Alligator mississippiensis: one gene and its partner. The protein of the gene in region 1 purifies or fractionates together with the protein of each later gene. This does not show direct contact. Links are inferred from orthologs where the notes say so. Each region holds a gene or a part of one and is shown on either strand. Other genes may lie near its edges.

Region 1 (6,917 bases):
CCCTAACCCCTCTCCCCCTTCCCATCACAGTGCTCTTAGCACCATGTCTTTCTTTCTACTTGCTGCCCAGACAAGCCCAAGCTGCCCTTATAGTCTGGATGGGACTGGCTGCAGGCTGCCCGAGTGCCCTCATCTGTTGCATGATCCTTGGCTACCTGTTTTCTCGGCTTGACTCCCGCCTGAGTCCTTGCCCAGCCTGAATCCCCTGCCTCATTCCTGCCTGAATCCTAGCCCATGTCCTCTGCTTTGATTCTCGGTTTCTGGAGTCCTAGTTTGTGACGCTCGTAGCATCTTGCTCCAATCCCATGCATCCAGGTTGTGTCTGTGACATGCCAGACCACATACACATCATACAGAGCCCCAGGCCTCTGTGGGGCAGCCTACAGAGGAGGATGTGGAGCCCCTGCACAGCTCCCCAACCATTCCAGTTGATGGCTATTATGTGCAAGGGGTGGTGGCTCATCCTCAAAAGGTGTGCTGGAGAGAAGAGTGGAAAAGACCTAATCTATGGTGTGGTGGTTAAAGCACTATGTGGAGAAATTGGTGATATAGGCTTAAAACCCTTCTTTGGTGACTGAATTTTAACTTGCATCACTGTGACTTGACTTGTTAGGTGATGGGGACCAGAAACCCAGGTCTTTGGCGTCCTAGGTAAGTGCTTTAGCTGTTCAGCTCTTGGGGCTAAAACTTGGAATGGGTTTTCTCCTTTCCCAAACTTCATTGCATGATAACATACCTAGTGTGTGTACATGGCCTACTCAGTCTACACATTGATGCATGCATGTCTGTTATACGCAGTAACAGGCCAAAAAAATGCAGCTAGGAAATGGCCATGTAGGTGCACAGTGACAAACAGAATTCCATCCATCCCATTTAAATGTTTGTAAGTGACCTTAGCACTGGGGCTTGAAGCATCCTCATCAAATTTGCAGAACTGGATCAGCTTGTGGAACAAGATGGCGAGTTCGGGCACACAAATCGGGGTGTGTGATGTGGAAGTATGTAACTGAGGTCCCCAGGTTGAGCTCTGCAGTGAGAAAAACATGGTAACTCCAGAGCTTTGACTGGCTTTTACTAGATGCTAGTTGGGGACATGCATGACAATTAAAACAGAAGTGAACAGATAGAAAAGACATGCATTAAACTGTGTTGTGTTTAAATCTACCTGGAGCAGTTCAAAAGGGTGCCTGGAAAATCAAGTACTATTTTGAACTGGTGCACTGTGAACTGATTCAGTGGTTGTGTGTGGACTCACCTTTCTATGACACTAACCTGGCCAGTCTTCCAGGAATCCCAAACTGCATCACTTCTCGCCTCTCCCACACACTACTGCAACCGACTGCTCTGGTATCGCTTCTCAGCCTTTTGGCTAAGATCAAGTGTAGTCCCATCAACTGCACCATCCTGGGCTGAGAGCCAGCTGTTGCCCAGACATCCTTGCAGCTGAGGAGGAGAACAAATGCATCGTGATGGCTGATGTTGCTATCCCATTGGAGAACCAGCAGCAAGCCTTTGTCGAAGCCTGCAAGTGGAATTTGACAGTACAAGCTGCTGGCAGGTGCTGTGAGTACGGGGCTGCAAAGTGATGGTGCAGGCACTGATTGTTGGGGTGCTTGGAGCATGGGACCCCCGGCAACAAAAGCATCTTGTGTGCCAAGCTGATGAGACAGCTCATGGTGTCTGACACCATCAGATGTTCCAGGGACATCAACATGGAGTGCATTGCGAGTGAGTGCCAGTATGTGGACACCAGCAAACTACTGGCTGGAAGCAACTTGGAGGAAGCAGTCTGATTTTTTTTTCCCCCCCTTCCTCCCCCCACCAACAGATCATGAGCTAAAACTGCTTCCCACCTGGACTGTCCATCACCTCTGCAATTATACTCCACGTGCTGTTGTTTGTACCTGCATATGTATCCCTCAGAGCCCACAACTCTACAATAATGCAGCTTCCTTGCACAGGGCCTTTGTATCTTATTCCCTCGGTAAGCATCATGCTTTTACCTCCCTTATCCCTCACCCTAACTCATCCCCTACCTAAGTAGGCTACGTTCTCTCTGCATAACTTAGTTGCATCCTCCACGTACCCACCCACCCAGTACTATGCAACTACCCTTCCCTGGGTCTTCTGGATCTCTTTCCACCTCTTCAACTCTGTAACTTCCTACTAAGATATACTAATAAACTAAATAAAGTATGTAGCCAGAGTCCTACTGCCCCCTTTTGCTGGCAATTATTTTTTTTAATCAATGAGCTCCCTTGCATATTCTTTGCTCAATAAAAGTTGTTTTTCCAACAGCCAGCTCTGCCCTGATTCCCTACTTGACTTCAGCCCAACCTCATGCCTCCCACCTGCCCGGTCCCAGGCAGTACCTGCCCCCCCTCCCCACAACCAAAAAGCGAGAGTCCAAGCCCTCCCCTCCTGTCTCCAAGTCAGGTGAGCACATTGCAAATGACTGCAGCCTACAGGCTATTGAAGTTTATTGAGCTTTGACAAGTGACAAGGCTAGGGAATGAACTGAGAATGTAAACCCCAAATCTGGGCTTCGACTAAACTAAAGGACAGCAATTGGGTTAGGGAAGGCCAGTGGGTGGCTGCGCGGGGATGCTGAGGAGTGGATGCGTTTATTGTAACAGGTACGTGGTTTCTTAATGTGGTTTAAGGTGTGTGATGGAAAGTTTTATGCTAGATGGTGGGGGGGTATACTATAAAAGATTACTAAGCTTACATTCAGGAAGCAAATGAAAGCAGGAAAGGGATAAGGCCCTCAGCCACACCTGGGACTCCCAAAGCATTTGTCCACTGCAAGGCATGCTGGGCTGGGTGCTCACTCCCACCCTGGTGTGCAAGCCACAACAGTTCACACCATTGTGAATGAATTCCCCCCGGAAGGATTCGATTGCAATGTGTGTCCACATCCTCAGAATCACACTGATTCCCGGCACTGGGGTAGGAAGGGTTTTTGCTCCCAGACCGACTGGCCCAGGCACTGGGGGTTTGCTGTCCTCTGCGGTGTAGGGAGCAGAGTCCCTTTCATAGGAGAGTCTTCATAGACATTAGGGCTGGAAGGGACCTTGTAAGATTATCGGGTCCAGCCCCCTGCCCAAGAAGCAGGAAGTCAACTAGGGGAAAACATCTCAGCAAGATAAAAGTCCAAATGTTTCATAAAGGTGTCCAGAGTAGGTGTTTGCACCACCTCTCAAAGTGGTAATTTAGAAATACAGGGGACTAGATGCAGTGACAGAGGCAGCCCCTTCCACTCGTGTTTCTGTTAAGTTCGGGTTTTAACCCAGCTCCCTGTGTATTGAATTTTCTCAGTTACTAAGTAGCACACAGTTAAGCTGGCTTTCCAAATAACTCATTAATTTGCCATTGTGTGCGCTGACTAGCTGGCAGATTCCAGCTAATCCATCACTAATAGAACATTAATAGCCAGCTGCCTCGCACACTTTCCTTGTGGGCTGATCTGAAAAAAACTCTCTGATTCCTTTCTTTCCAGACTTTCACCCTGGGTCTCTCAGAAGAAAAGCAACCACAGGGGAGGCATTGTGCTGCTTGGAAGAAGTACTTCCAAGACTCAGTGAATTACCCTTTCCTAAGACTAGGGCTGGTGGGATCTGAGCAGGAAATGGGGACCAGGAGCAGGATCATTATTCTCTTCTCTGCTAAAAAAACAATACAGTGTTCAGAGTAACAACAAAAATCCAAGGCATGATACTCCACCCTGGCATGCCTCCTCCTTCTCAGGGCTACTTTAGTGAGGCTTGAACAAGTTTTAAAGCATACTAACCAGCATCTCCCCCTCTTTTCCTAAGGGATTGGTATGCCCCAGGGACAGATGTCTTTAGATCTTCAACCTTTGGGATGTAGCTAATGCCTAGTTAAATTAAATAAGGGGGGGAGCTTTGCAAAAGCAGCAGTCTGGGTGATGGAAGCAGTGTAAATGAAATTCCTTGGGAGTGATTAAAAAAAAAAAAAGGAAGGAAACAGCTACAGGACTAGTTGCTTTTTAGCAGGTAAGTGAAAACAAACTTGAACTCTGTGAAATCTGATCTGCCTAAAAGTATCCTAGCAATTTGAACAGGAGACATGTGTGCAGGGTGATCCCCTATAATTAAAGATGTTGCTGTTTGAACATGTTGCACTCAGCAGAAATTTGCAGTCGCCAAAAACAGTTGTTTGTTTGTTGGTTTTAGGTAGTAGTTTTCTCCTGATGGTTTCCCTCCTCAGATTTGTGGAAATGTTTGTTGCTTTGTAAAATATAATTTTGAAATTGTGTTCATCTAGCACCAGGGCTGAAAAAAGGAGGGAGAGGCAGATGAGACAAAGACAATGGGCCAGATTCTCAGCTGGTGGAAATGAATCAAAGTTCACTAGTTTGAATGGGGCTACTCCAATTTACACTTTATGAATTCAGGCCAGATGGCTGGAAATTTTATATTGGCTACTTGCAAGAAGACATCCAATCAGAAAGAGGATTTTTTAATTTTATTCCTGTAAGATCACTTACATAAGGTGAATAGTTTGTTCTGTGCTGGCGCACGGGACTCCTGGGAAATTATTAGTTCAAGCCAACGTGCTTGTCCTTTGCTCACATTGTAAGAGAGCAAGGATTGGAGGAGTTATGAATGGTGCCAGTCTAATTTCAGTCTTTCAGCTCTGGCTTTTTAATTCAGTGCAGGAATGAAGTGAAGCATTACTCAGCTGTCTCTGCCTGAGAATCGGAAAGGCTCTGAACCTGGTTATTTCTTCTCAATGGACTTGTATAACTTCTTTGTTACATGTTAACCCACAAAACAAGAATCACATGTTTTAAGAATCCCAGGGCCAGGACCCAAGCTGGTGTAAATCAATTTGTTGTGGCTGGTGTTAGTGGAGCTATGCAAATTTACTCCTGTGGAGGATCGTGACTGCAGTAGCATTTGAAAGCGCTGAACAGGATGGAGACCTTATTGTAATAGGCCCGGAACAAGAAAGCAACACAAAATTAGTCCCTCCCTGTTCTTACAAGCAAAGAATTACTAATCATAAGGATGGGCCAGGCCTGCAATATTTTGATTTGAGTTTCAAATTCCAGGAAGGTACATTCTGGTCATTCCCATTGAAGTCAATAGGGAGTAAACTCTATGGTTTTCAGTAGCAACTCTGAATCCACACCAATGTGACTGAGACCCAAATCTGAGTCAGTGAGTGGACAAAAAAAAGTCCAAGTGTGAATTTTGGAATCTGTGTTGGGACTCTGAAATTTTGGGAGTGAAGAGGACTGAAGCTATAGCCAGAGATCTAGGTATTAAAACTGAGATCAAGGCCTCACTGCACTAGGCACTAAACATCCACACAACAATAGACAGTCCCTAACACAAAGAGCTCAAGCTCCAAGAAGACAAGAGTGGGGGTGGAGAAAGGAAATATCACTAGCCGTGTACAACAGGTGGAAAATAGGGTCAAAGAGAAATTAAGGGCAAAATCCTATTTCACTTTACATATCCCAATGGTACTTACCCACATTTGTAAATGCCATTTTGGACATTTGCACACAATTTATAACTACTCCACATGCACGTGGCTATTAAGCATGCTCAGTAAGCTATATGCTGGCTAGGCAGGTAGGTGGATCTATGCAGTCGCTCATGAATGAGTGTAAGTTCCCAAACTTTTGCTGGGTAAAACAACCGGTGTTAGGTGCTGGAGGGAGGGGGGCCCCATGCTTTAGCCCACTGCTGGAGGCACTCACCTGGGTTCTAGACCTACTCATCCAAAGGAGGTTTCATCATCTCTGACTTCCCAGCACAGTGCTCTAATTACCACACCACAGGAAAGTCACTGTCTAGACCTTCTTTTGCAGCTGGACCCCAGAAACAAGAGCACGTGCTTGAGGATGTGTGGCTTAATGAGATGAGCCTAGCGTTAGCCTGAGCCACTGGTTCCAAACAGAGCAGTGCAAAGGCACCTCCTGAGCTGCAGGTTCCCTGAGCCCCTCGGGCTAGCACTGCTCTGTTCCTCCTCCTGGGGTGGAGGCAGGAAATGGAAGCTGGAGAAGGGAGGGGGAGCCCAGGGACCCTGGCAGCAGCAGTAGAAGAAATGAAGGGAGAAGCACCTGGACTGGGAGCCATGAGTTAGCCACTCATGGGCTGGATGTGATCCACAGGCTACCAGTCGGACAGATGTGACCTACAGGTTGGGTGGCTCTGTCTTAGAAAGTAATGGCACAGAGAAGGACTTAGGAATCATAGTAGATAATTGCCTGCATGTGAGTTCTCAGCCCATGCTGCAATTAAAATGGTTAATGCAATCACTGGATGCATAAACGGAGAATATCAAATAGACACAGAAAAGTGATCTTGCCTCTGGACACAGCAATGGCGAGGCAATGACTCATGCAGTGCGTCCAGTGCTGGTATCCACATTTGGAGAAGGATGTGGAATTACTGGAAAGATTTCAAAGGGAAAGGGCAAAAATGATTCAGAGGCTGGAATGCAAGCCCTGTGATATGAGCTTTAAGGCACTCACTTGATGCATCTTACCAGACAAAAGATTGAGAGATGACTTACTTGATCACTGTGTGTAGTGGAAGTTATCTGATACTGGGGGCTTTGCAAAGGGTAACCTGATCCAGTGACTGGAAGCTGAACTTGGGCAAACCCAACTTTGAAATAAGATGCACTTTCCTAGCAGTGAGGGTGTTTAAACATTGCAACTGCTTTCTAGGGGAAGTGGTGGACTCATCATTGCTTAGAGTCTTAAAATGAGATTAGGTGTCTTTCTAAAAGACAAGCTTTGATCCAAATTCTGGGAAAAAAATCTGTGACCTGTGTGTGTTTGGATGCCGGGGGATCAGGCTGGTCCCTTCTGGCCCCGGTGGATGTGAATCTCTGTTCCTGTGTTTGTCCTTTTCTTCCATAGGCTACAGAGAGAA
Region 2 (7,187 bases), on another chromosome or scaffold:
CTCGTTGGGTGGAAGGCCTCAAAGCCAACCCTGGGCTCATCTCTTACACTCTGATGCCCATCCATGCCTTGGCAAGGAAGGGTGACCCACGGCGGGCCTCTCTCCAGAGGGCTGTGAGCCAGTATGTCCTTGATGGGGCGCTGTGGAGGAACTGCACCCATCCCTGCCCCCTGGGCACCCAACGAAGCCCGTGGGACCCATGCACCTGCCTGTGCTCAGAGGAGGTGGGGTGGGATGCATCCTGCTGCTCCCGGGAGCGAAGCCTGGGCCAGCTCATGGTGACGGTGGTCAATGCCAGTAGGCTCTACGGGGACCTCGGCACCCAGTCAGATGCCTATGTCAAGGTGTTTTATGGGGGGCAGGAGCTGCGGGCAGACACAGTGTGGAACAATGACAGCCCGGCATGGGGGGTGGGACTGGATTTTGGGGTGGGGCGGGTAGACGGTGAAGACGGGCTGAGGTTGGAGGTGTGGGACGAGGACAACGGGCATGATGATGACCTACTGGGGGCCTGTGGGGAGATGCCTGTGGCTGGCGCCCCCCAGTCTCGCACCTGCTATTTGGCCTATGGGCAGCTCCACTTCCTGTACCGCCTCCAGTGTGGGCCTGGCCTGGGTGGGCCCCGGTGCCAGGACTATGCCCCCCGGCCCCCTGAGATATAACTGCCCCCCCAGGGGGCTTCCCCTCTTCAGGTCCTTCAGCCCCATAACCACATGGACTGGGGCCACAAAGCGGGGAGGGGCCAGGAGGAGAGAGGGGGTGATGGGATGGGTCCACCTGACCCATCAATGACCCTTAGGTGATCCCAACAAATGATCCCATCCATAGCTCCACCTACCAATAATGGCAACCCAATCCTAAGCAAGGACACCAAACCTAACCCAGCCAACCAATGACACCAACCCAACTCTAACAAATGACCCCACCCCTAGCCCAACCCAACCCACCGATCTCCTTCCCTCAGGGCCTTCCCCTTCAAACCCTGTACACACATCCCTGGCAGGGAGGGAGTCTAATTAGGGTGACTTCCAAGGTTCGTTAGCAGTAATGAGACAACGGGCATCCGGCCTGTGGGGGGAATAAAGGCATTTGAGTTGACCTCCTGCCAAATGTGTGTGTGTGTAGCCCTCAATTGGGGGGCTAACCCCTCCACTACCCACAATCCCTTGGCCCCTCTCATTCCTGAAGAAGTCTCAAGAAACATGAATTTTCTTCAGAACTCCCCCCCATTTTATTGACTATTTTTCACCCCGCAACAGTGCCGGGGCCAGAGGAGGGGCAGCTACAGAGCTACCCACCCCGTGCCTTTCCTCACCCCTTTTTGACCACTCTGAGCCCCCTGGGACCTGAGGTTCCCCTGTATCCAACATGGCTGCCGAGTCGGGGTGGGTTCACTGGTTGTCCTGGCGATGGTTTCAATATGGCCGCCTAGGCCAAGAGTTTCCACTGGTTGCCTTGGTGATGGTTTCAATGTGGCTGCCTTTTGCAAGGGGTTCCACTGGTTGTCTTGGCAATGGTTTCAATAGGCCGCCTTTGCCAAGGGCTCAAAATGGCTGCCCAGACAAAGGTGTTGAGCATGGTTGCTATGGGCAGGGGGCCAATATGGCCGTCTTGGCAACAAAGTGAACATGGCTGAAATGGGGATGGTTCAGTATGGCTGCCTGGGCAGCGGGGGGGGGAGTGTCAACATGGTCACCATGGTGATGGTATCAATATGACTACCATGAGGAGGGTCAATGGGGTTGCCCAAGAAAGGGGTGGAGTTTGGTTCCTATAGGGGGTGGTCAAAATGGCTACCTTAGCAACAGGGTCACCACGGTTGCCATGGCAATGGGATGAACATGGTTGCCATCAGAGGGGTTCAATATGGCCACCCTGGCAATGGGCCCAAGATGGTGGCTGCAGGGAAAATTCAAAATGGCCATCTTGGTAATGGGGTGTCTAGGACTTCCAAAGGGGGGGTTCAAAATGGCCACCCTGGCAACAGGTTAAACCTGGTTGCCATGGGGGGGTCAAAAGGGTCGCCTTGACAACAGGGTCACTGAGGTCACCGTGGCAATAGCGAGAACATGGCCACCAGGCCCAATGGGTGGCAGCCATCTTGGTGTGTCTGTCCGTGTGTCCGTCTCCGTGTCGCCGTGTGCCATGGGGTCCGGAACCGGGTTCGCTAACGAGGCTCTGAGCTAACGAGGGGGGTGGGGTTAGTGTCGGCCATCTTGTTCCCTGCCATCCCCCATCCAGCCTGGCGTTGTGGCTGGCGGCCATCTTGGGCCCCATTACCACCATTTTGTGCCCACCCCAGTGCTGTTCCCCATTGCTGTGGGTGATGATGGCCATCTTAGCTCCACTGCCATGCCTTATGGTGGCCATCTTGACTCCTGGCCCATGCCTAATGGTGGCCATCTTGGTTATTACTTCCAGCCCCCTGCCATGCCCAAAGGCGGACATATTGACTTCTACTCCCACCTGTTTCCATGCCTAATGGCAGCCATCCTGATGCCTGGCCCGCTTCCCACAGCCTTGCCTTGTGGCAGCCATCTTGCTTGCTGCTCACCTCACTATTTCTGCACCCAGTGGCGGCCATCTTGGTTCCCAACTCTTTCCCCACTGCCGTGCCCAAGAGCTGCCATCTTGGTTCCCGCTCCCATCCCTAATGCCAGGCCCCGTGGCGGCCATCTTGACTCCTGCTCACTCCCCCATTCCCATCCCCCATGGCGGCCATCTCGGTTCACGCCCCGCTCGTTCCTGCGGGCAGCTGCCATCTTGACTCACCTGTGGGCAGGGCTCCGCTCACTCCTTGCCCGCCCGGCGCCGCTCCGATCGCTGCAGCTTGGTGGCCAACTTGCGCTCGTGCCCAGCTGGGCTGGGCCGGTTCGTGTGGGCTGCTGCCTCCCGCTTGGTACGCCCTTTCCGGCCTCTCCCATCAGGCACTGGGATGGCGGGGGGGGGGACACAAATGGGGAGGGGTCAGAGTTGGGTGTCCCCCACTCCCACCCGCAGCTCCCTGCACCAGTGCCCCCGCCCCCGCCCCGCAGCCCCCCACAGCAGTGCCCCCGCTCCCGCCCCGCAGCCCCCCACAGCGGTGCCCCCACTCCTGGGTGCTCTGGGAGGGGAGCGCGGAGCAGAGGGGCGGGAGCCGGACGCCTGGAGCCTGGCTGCCATCTAGTGACTTCGGACTTTATAGCCAGACTTTATAGCCAGGGATCGGGGCAGGGGGGGCCGGGCCCGGACGCTGGGTCCTCACCCGCGTAGCGCTCGGTCAGGCTGTAGTAGTCGCAGGCGTCCAGGTACCGGCCTTCAAAGGGCGTCGGGACCAGGCGGGCGGCATCAAGCCGGGCCGAGGCCATGGCCTATTGCAGGCGGGGTCGGGGGTCCTCGAGCTGGGGGTCCCTGGGGGCGTCGGTCTGTGCAGCAGGGGCTGCGTCCGGCTGTCTCCTGGGGCTGTTTGTGTCTCGCTGGGTCCTGCCCCCCCTTTATAGACCAGGCCCCGCCCCCATTGCATCATCCGTCTCCCCCCCAGGCACCCCCCCCCCCCCCCGTTCCTGCCCCACCCCCAGAACCTTAAAGGCACAGGGGGGCCCCACTGCTGACCTGCATCGCTCCCCACGGCGGTGCCCCCACGCCGAGCCCGCACCCCCCTACGGTGCCCCCACTCCCGCCCGCCCCGCCGGCCCCCGGCCAAGGTACACATGGGGAGAAAAACAACCTCGGGTCACGAGGGGAGACTGAGTCAGGACTCGGCTGAGCCCTCCCCCCCCCCCAGCCCTCCCCCCCCCTTATTGCCAGGCCTGATAGAGAGGCGCCTGAGCTGGGAATCATTAACTGGGTGCCCCCCCCGCAGCCCCTTCTGCCCACAAGAGTTTGTGGGGCTCCCCCATCAGACAACCCAGGGGGCCGGGCTCCCAGAATCCCCTGCTCCCACCCCCCAGGAAAGGGGGGACCCCCCATATTACAGGGGTACGGGGAAGGGGGGGCTATTTTGGGCAGGGTGTCGGCGCAGGATGGGCGATGCTGCACGTGGGGGAGCGGCTGCAGGTCGGGAGTGAGGGGCACCGCTGTTGCTGAGCGCTGGGGGTCGGGGTTTCAGGAGCGGGAGGGGCCGGGGAGCTGAAAACTACAACTCCCAGGAGCCCCGGGGAGACCCCGGCTCTATGGCGCAAGAGACTGGAAGGGCAACATGCGCGATGCGCATGCGCTGTCGTTCTGCGTGGGCCCTGGTGGCACTGTGCGCATGCGCAACCTCAAAGCGCTTCCTCAGGGACTGCAAGTCCCAGGCTGCCTCGCGAGCTTGGCTCCGCGCAAGCGTAGTTGGGCCCCGCCTCCCGCTGCCGCCCTGGGAACGTGGAGCCGCTCCTTCGCCGCCGCTTCAGGTCCGGTCCCGCCCGGAGGGCCCCGCGGTGCGTCTGGGCCTGGGGGCGACCGGGGGGCAGGCAAGCGGGGCCGGAAATGGGCGGTGGGGGGGCGCGAAGGGGGTGTCATGGTAAGCAGGTGAATGCGCATGCGCAGCTTGGAGGGGACGCGGGTGATGGGAGTGCGCATGCGTATTCGGCTTCTTGGACCCCCCCTCCCCCCGGTCCCAGGGCATTGTGGGAGTGTTGCCAACCCCACCAGTCCCGAGGCATTGTGGGAGTATGGACAACCTGCCCTCTGGCCACATGGCATTGTGGGAGTGTGGCCAACTGCTCCCTGTCCCAGGGCATTGTGGGAAAGTAGCAAACCCCCCACTGTGGGAGCATGTCCTTGACTCCCCCTCAGCCCCAAGGCATTGTGGGAGAGTAGCTTACTGGCACCGCAGCCCCAGGGCATTGTGGGAGATAGGCCATAAGTCCCCCCTCCAGCCCCAAGGCATTGTGGGAGCGTGAGCAACTCTCCTCCCCACCGCAGGGCATTGTGGGAATCCAGCTAGCCGCCCCCCCGACTAAACCTTCCCGCCGGGCGCCCCGCAGGCCCCGCCCTCTCCCGGCGGCCATGGCGCTGGTGTCGGCCGACTCGCGCATCGCGGAGCTGCTGGGGGAGCTGCACCAGCTCATCAAGCAGACCCAGGTGAGCTTCCCAGCATCCTCTGGGGTGGCGGGGGCCTTTCCCAGCATCCTCTGGGGTGGGGGGGGCCTTTCCCAGCATCCTCTGGGGCAGGCGGTGTGCGGCCGCCTCCCTGGGGCAGGCAGAGGAAGGAGCTGGGGGGCAGGGGGAGGTGTGTGGGGAGGGTTGTCCTATCCCCGCCTCCTACGGGCTACCCCAGAGGCTGCTGGCGAGGGGGCGGAGCCCTGGTAACCCCGCCCCCCGCAGGAGGAGCGTTCCCGCAGCGAGCACAACCTGGTGAACATCCAGAAGACCCACGAGCGGATGCAAACGGAGAATAAGAGTGAGACCCCCGCCCCGCACGCCTGGGTGCTTCCCAGAATCCCCCAGGGGTGGGGGTGGGGGTGGGGGAGGGGTTACAGCCCAGCCCGGACCCCTGGGTTTCTCCTTCGATGGGTCTGGCCCTGGACGCCTGGGTTTGATCTCCGATTGCGGGGGGGAGACGGAGCCTGTACGCCAGGGTTCAGCGTAACACGAGGTGGGGGGGCGGGCCCCCGGGTTCAATCAAGTATTGGGGGGGGCCGGACGCCTGGGTTCTGAACTGCACCCCCCCACCCCCCTGCAGTCTCCCCCTATTACCGCACCAAGCTGCGGGGGCTTTACACCACGGCCAAGGCGGATGCAGAGGCTGAGTGCAAGTAAGTTTGCCTCCCCTTGCCCCACCCCCACCCCAAATCCCCCCCCCCCCACTAGCGGTCACTAATGTCCCCCCTTTCTGCCCCCCCTCCCACACAGCATCCTGCGCAAGGCACTGGACAAGATCGCCGAGATCAAGTCCTTGCTGGAGGAGAGACGCATTGGTAAGCAATACCTAATCCCCTCCTCTCCCCCGGGACTCCCAGAATCCCCTGGGGCCTGACAAGAAGTGGTTGGACAGGGGCATTCTCCCCCGGGGCTAGTGGGGGTCTCTGGAGGGTATAGAAGCCTGGAACTCCCAGTATCCCTTGGGACCTGATACCTCCCAGAATCCCCTGGGGTCTGACAAGGGGACACAGACTTCCCAGCATCCCCTGGGACCTCAGCTGTAGGGGTCTCTGGGGGAACTGCCAGAATCCCTTGAGGTCTTGGGGTCTCCAGGGTGGGAGAGGGCCTGGGATATCCAAAAATTCTTTGGGGAGGGACAGGGGATGCGGGGTGGCTGGGCACAGACCTCCCAGAAACCCCTGGGGATATTGTGGGGGTCTCCCAGAAGCCCCTGGTACATAGGTCTCTCCACCGGCCCTGTTTCCCACAGTCCTGTGCAACGTGGATATCCAGGGACGGGGAGGACCCAGAAACCTCACTCTTTTCTTTTGCCCTCCCCACAACAGCGGCGAAGATCGCGGGACTCTACAACGACTCGGAGCCGCCACGTAAGACCATGCGCCGGGGGGTCCTCATGACCCTCCTCCAGCAATCGGCCATGACGCTGCCTCTCTGGATTGGAAAGCCCGGCGAGAAGTGAGCCCCCCACCTCTTGCTGCTTCCCCCTGCCCTGGGGGGCGGGGTTCATAGCCCTCCCCCACACCCCTAACTGCCCCCTGCTTGCAGGCCCCCACCTTTGTGCGGCGCCATCCCAGCTGCCAGTGACTACGTAGCCAAGCCCGGGGACAAGGTGGCCGCCCGGGTCAAAGCTGTGGACGGGGATGAGCAGTGGATCCTGGCAGAGGTTGTTAGTTACAGCCACGCCACCAACAAGTGAGTGGAGGGGAGTCCAAGATGTCCACCATGGGGTGGGACTTGCCAGCCTGGCTGCCAGGATGGCGAGGGAGGGGGGTTGGAGGGCTTCCAATATGGTTGCCAGGTCCAGGGCCCATCCAATATGGGCACCAGGGTGAAGGAGGACGGATTGGAAGACTTCTAATATGGCTGCCAGGGTGATGGCTCCTCCAAGATAGTCACTCTAGGCAGCCATGGGGGGTGGGGCGGGGGGAGGGATGACACTATGATACTGGGTGTCCTAGGGGCCACTCTAGCCAGCCAAGAGGGAACGGCATCTCTATTACCTCACTAGGGGGTTCCTCTGGCTGGGCAAAATGGTGACTCTATGGTGCTGGACCCCCCCTCCTCCCCCGGGGGCCCCTCTAGCCATCCAGGAGGGCAATTCTGTGGTCCCCCGATGACCTCGG

Evidence for each region. The genes of interacting proteins can lie anywhere in the genome.
Region 2: the proteins of INAVA (region 1) and SGF29 purify together in Homo sapiens (co-immunoprecipitation; 3 studies listed by BioGRID and IntAct, counting the BioPlex papers as one, with this or other methods). This does not show direct contact. The link is inferred for Alligator mississippiensis from reciprocal best matches to the Homo sapiens genes INAVA and SGF29.

The regions. Positions count from the first base shown.
Region 1 is NC_081837.1:33,172,126-33,179,042, reverse strand, and holds the start of INAVA (innate immunity activator protein), read left to right. Parts: upstream 1-3,837; 5' UTR 3,838-4,016; intron 4,017-6,917. UniProt on the Homo sapiens protein: Expressed in peripheral macrophages and intestinal myeloid-derived cells, is required for optimal PRR (pattern recognition receptor)-induced signaling, cytokine secretion, and bacterial clearance.
Region 2 is NC_081830.1:820,447-827,633, forward strand, and holds the start of SGF29 (SAGA-associated factor 29), read left to right. Parts: upstream 1-4,138; 5' UTR 4,139-4,151; coding exon 4,152-4,397; intron 4,398-4,884; coding exon 4,885-5,043; intron 5,044-5,286; coding exon 5,287-5,362; intron 5,363-5,644; coding exon 5,645-5,717; intron 5,718-5,814; coding exon 5,815-5,879; intron 5,880-6,389; coding exon 6,390-6,519; intron 6,520-6,609; coding exon 6,610-6,756; intron 6,757-7,187. Other genes in the region: perforin-1, read left to right, coding at 1-662; nuclear protein 1, read right to left, coding at 2,791-2,930, 3,245-3,347. UniProt on the Homo sapiens protein: Chromatin reader component of some histone acetyltransferase (HAT) SAGA-type complexes like the TFTC-HAT, ATAC or STAGA complexes.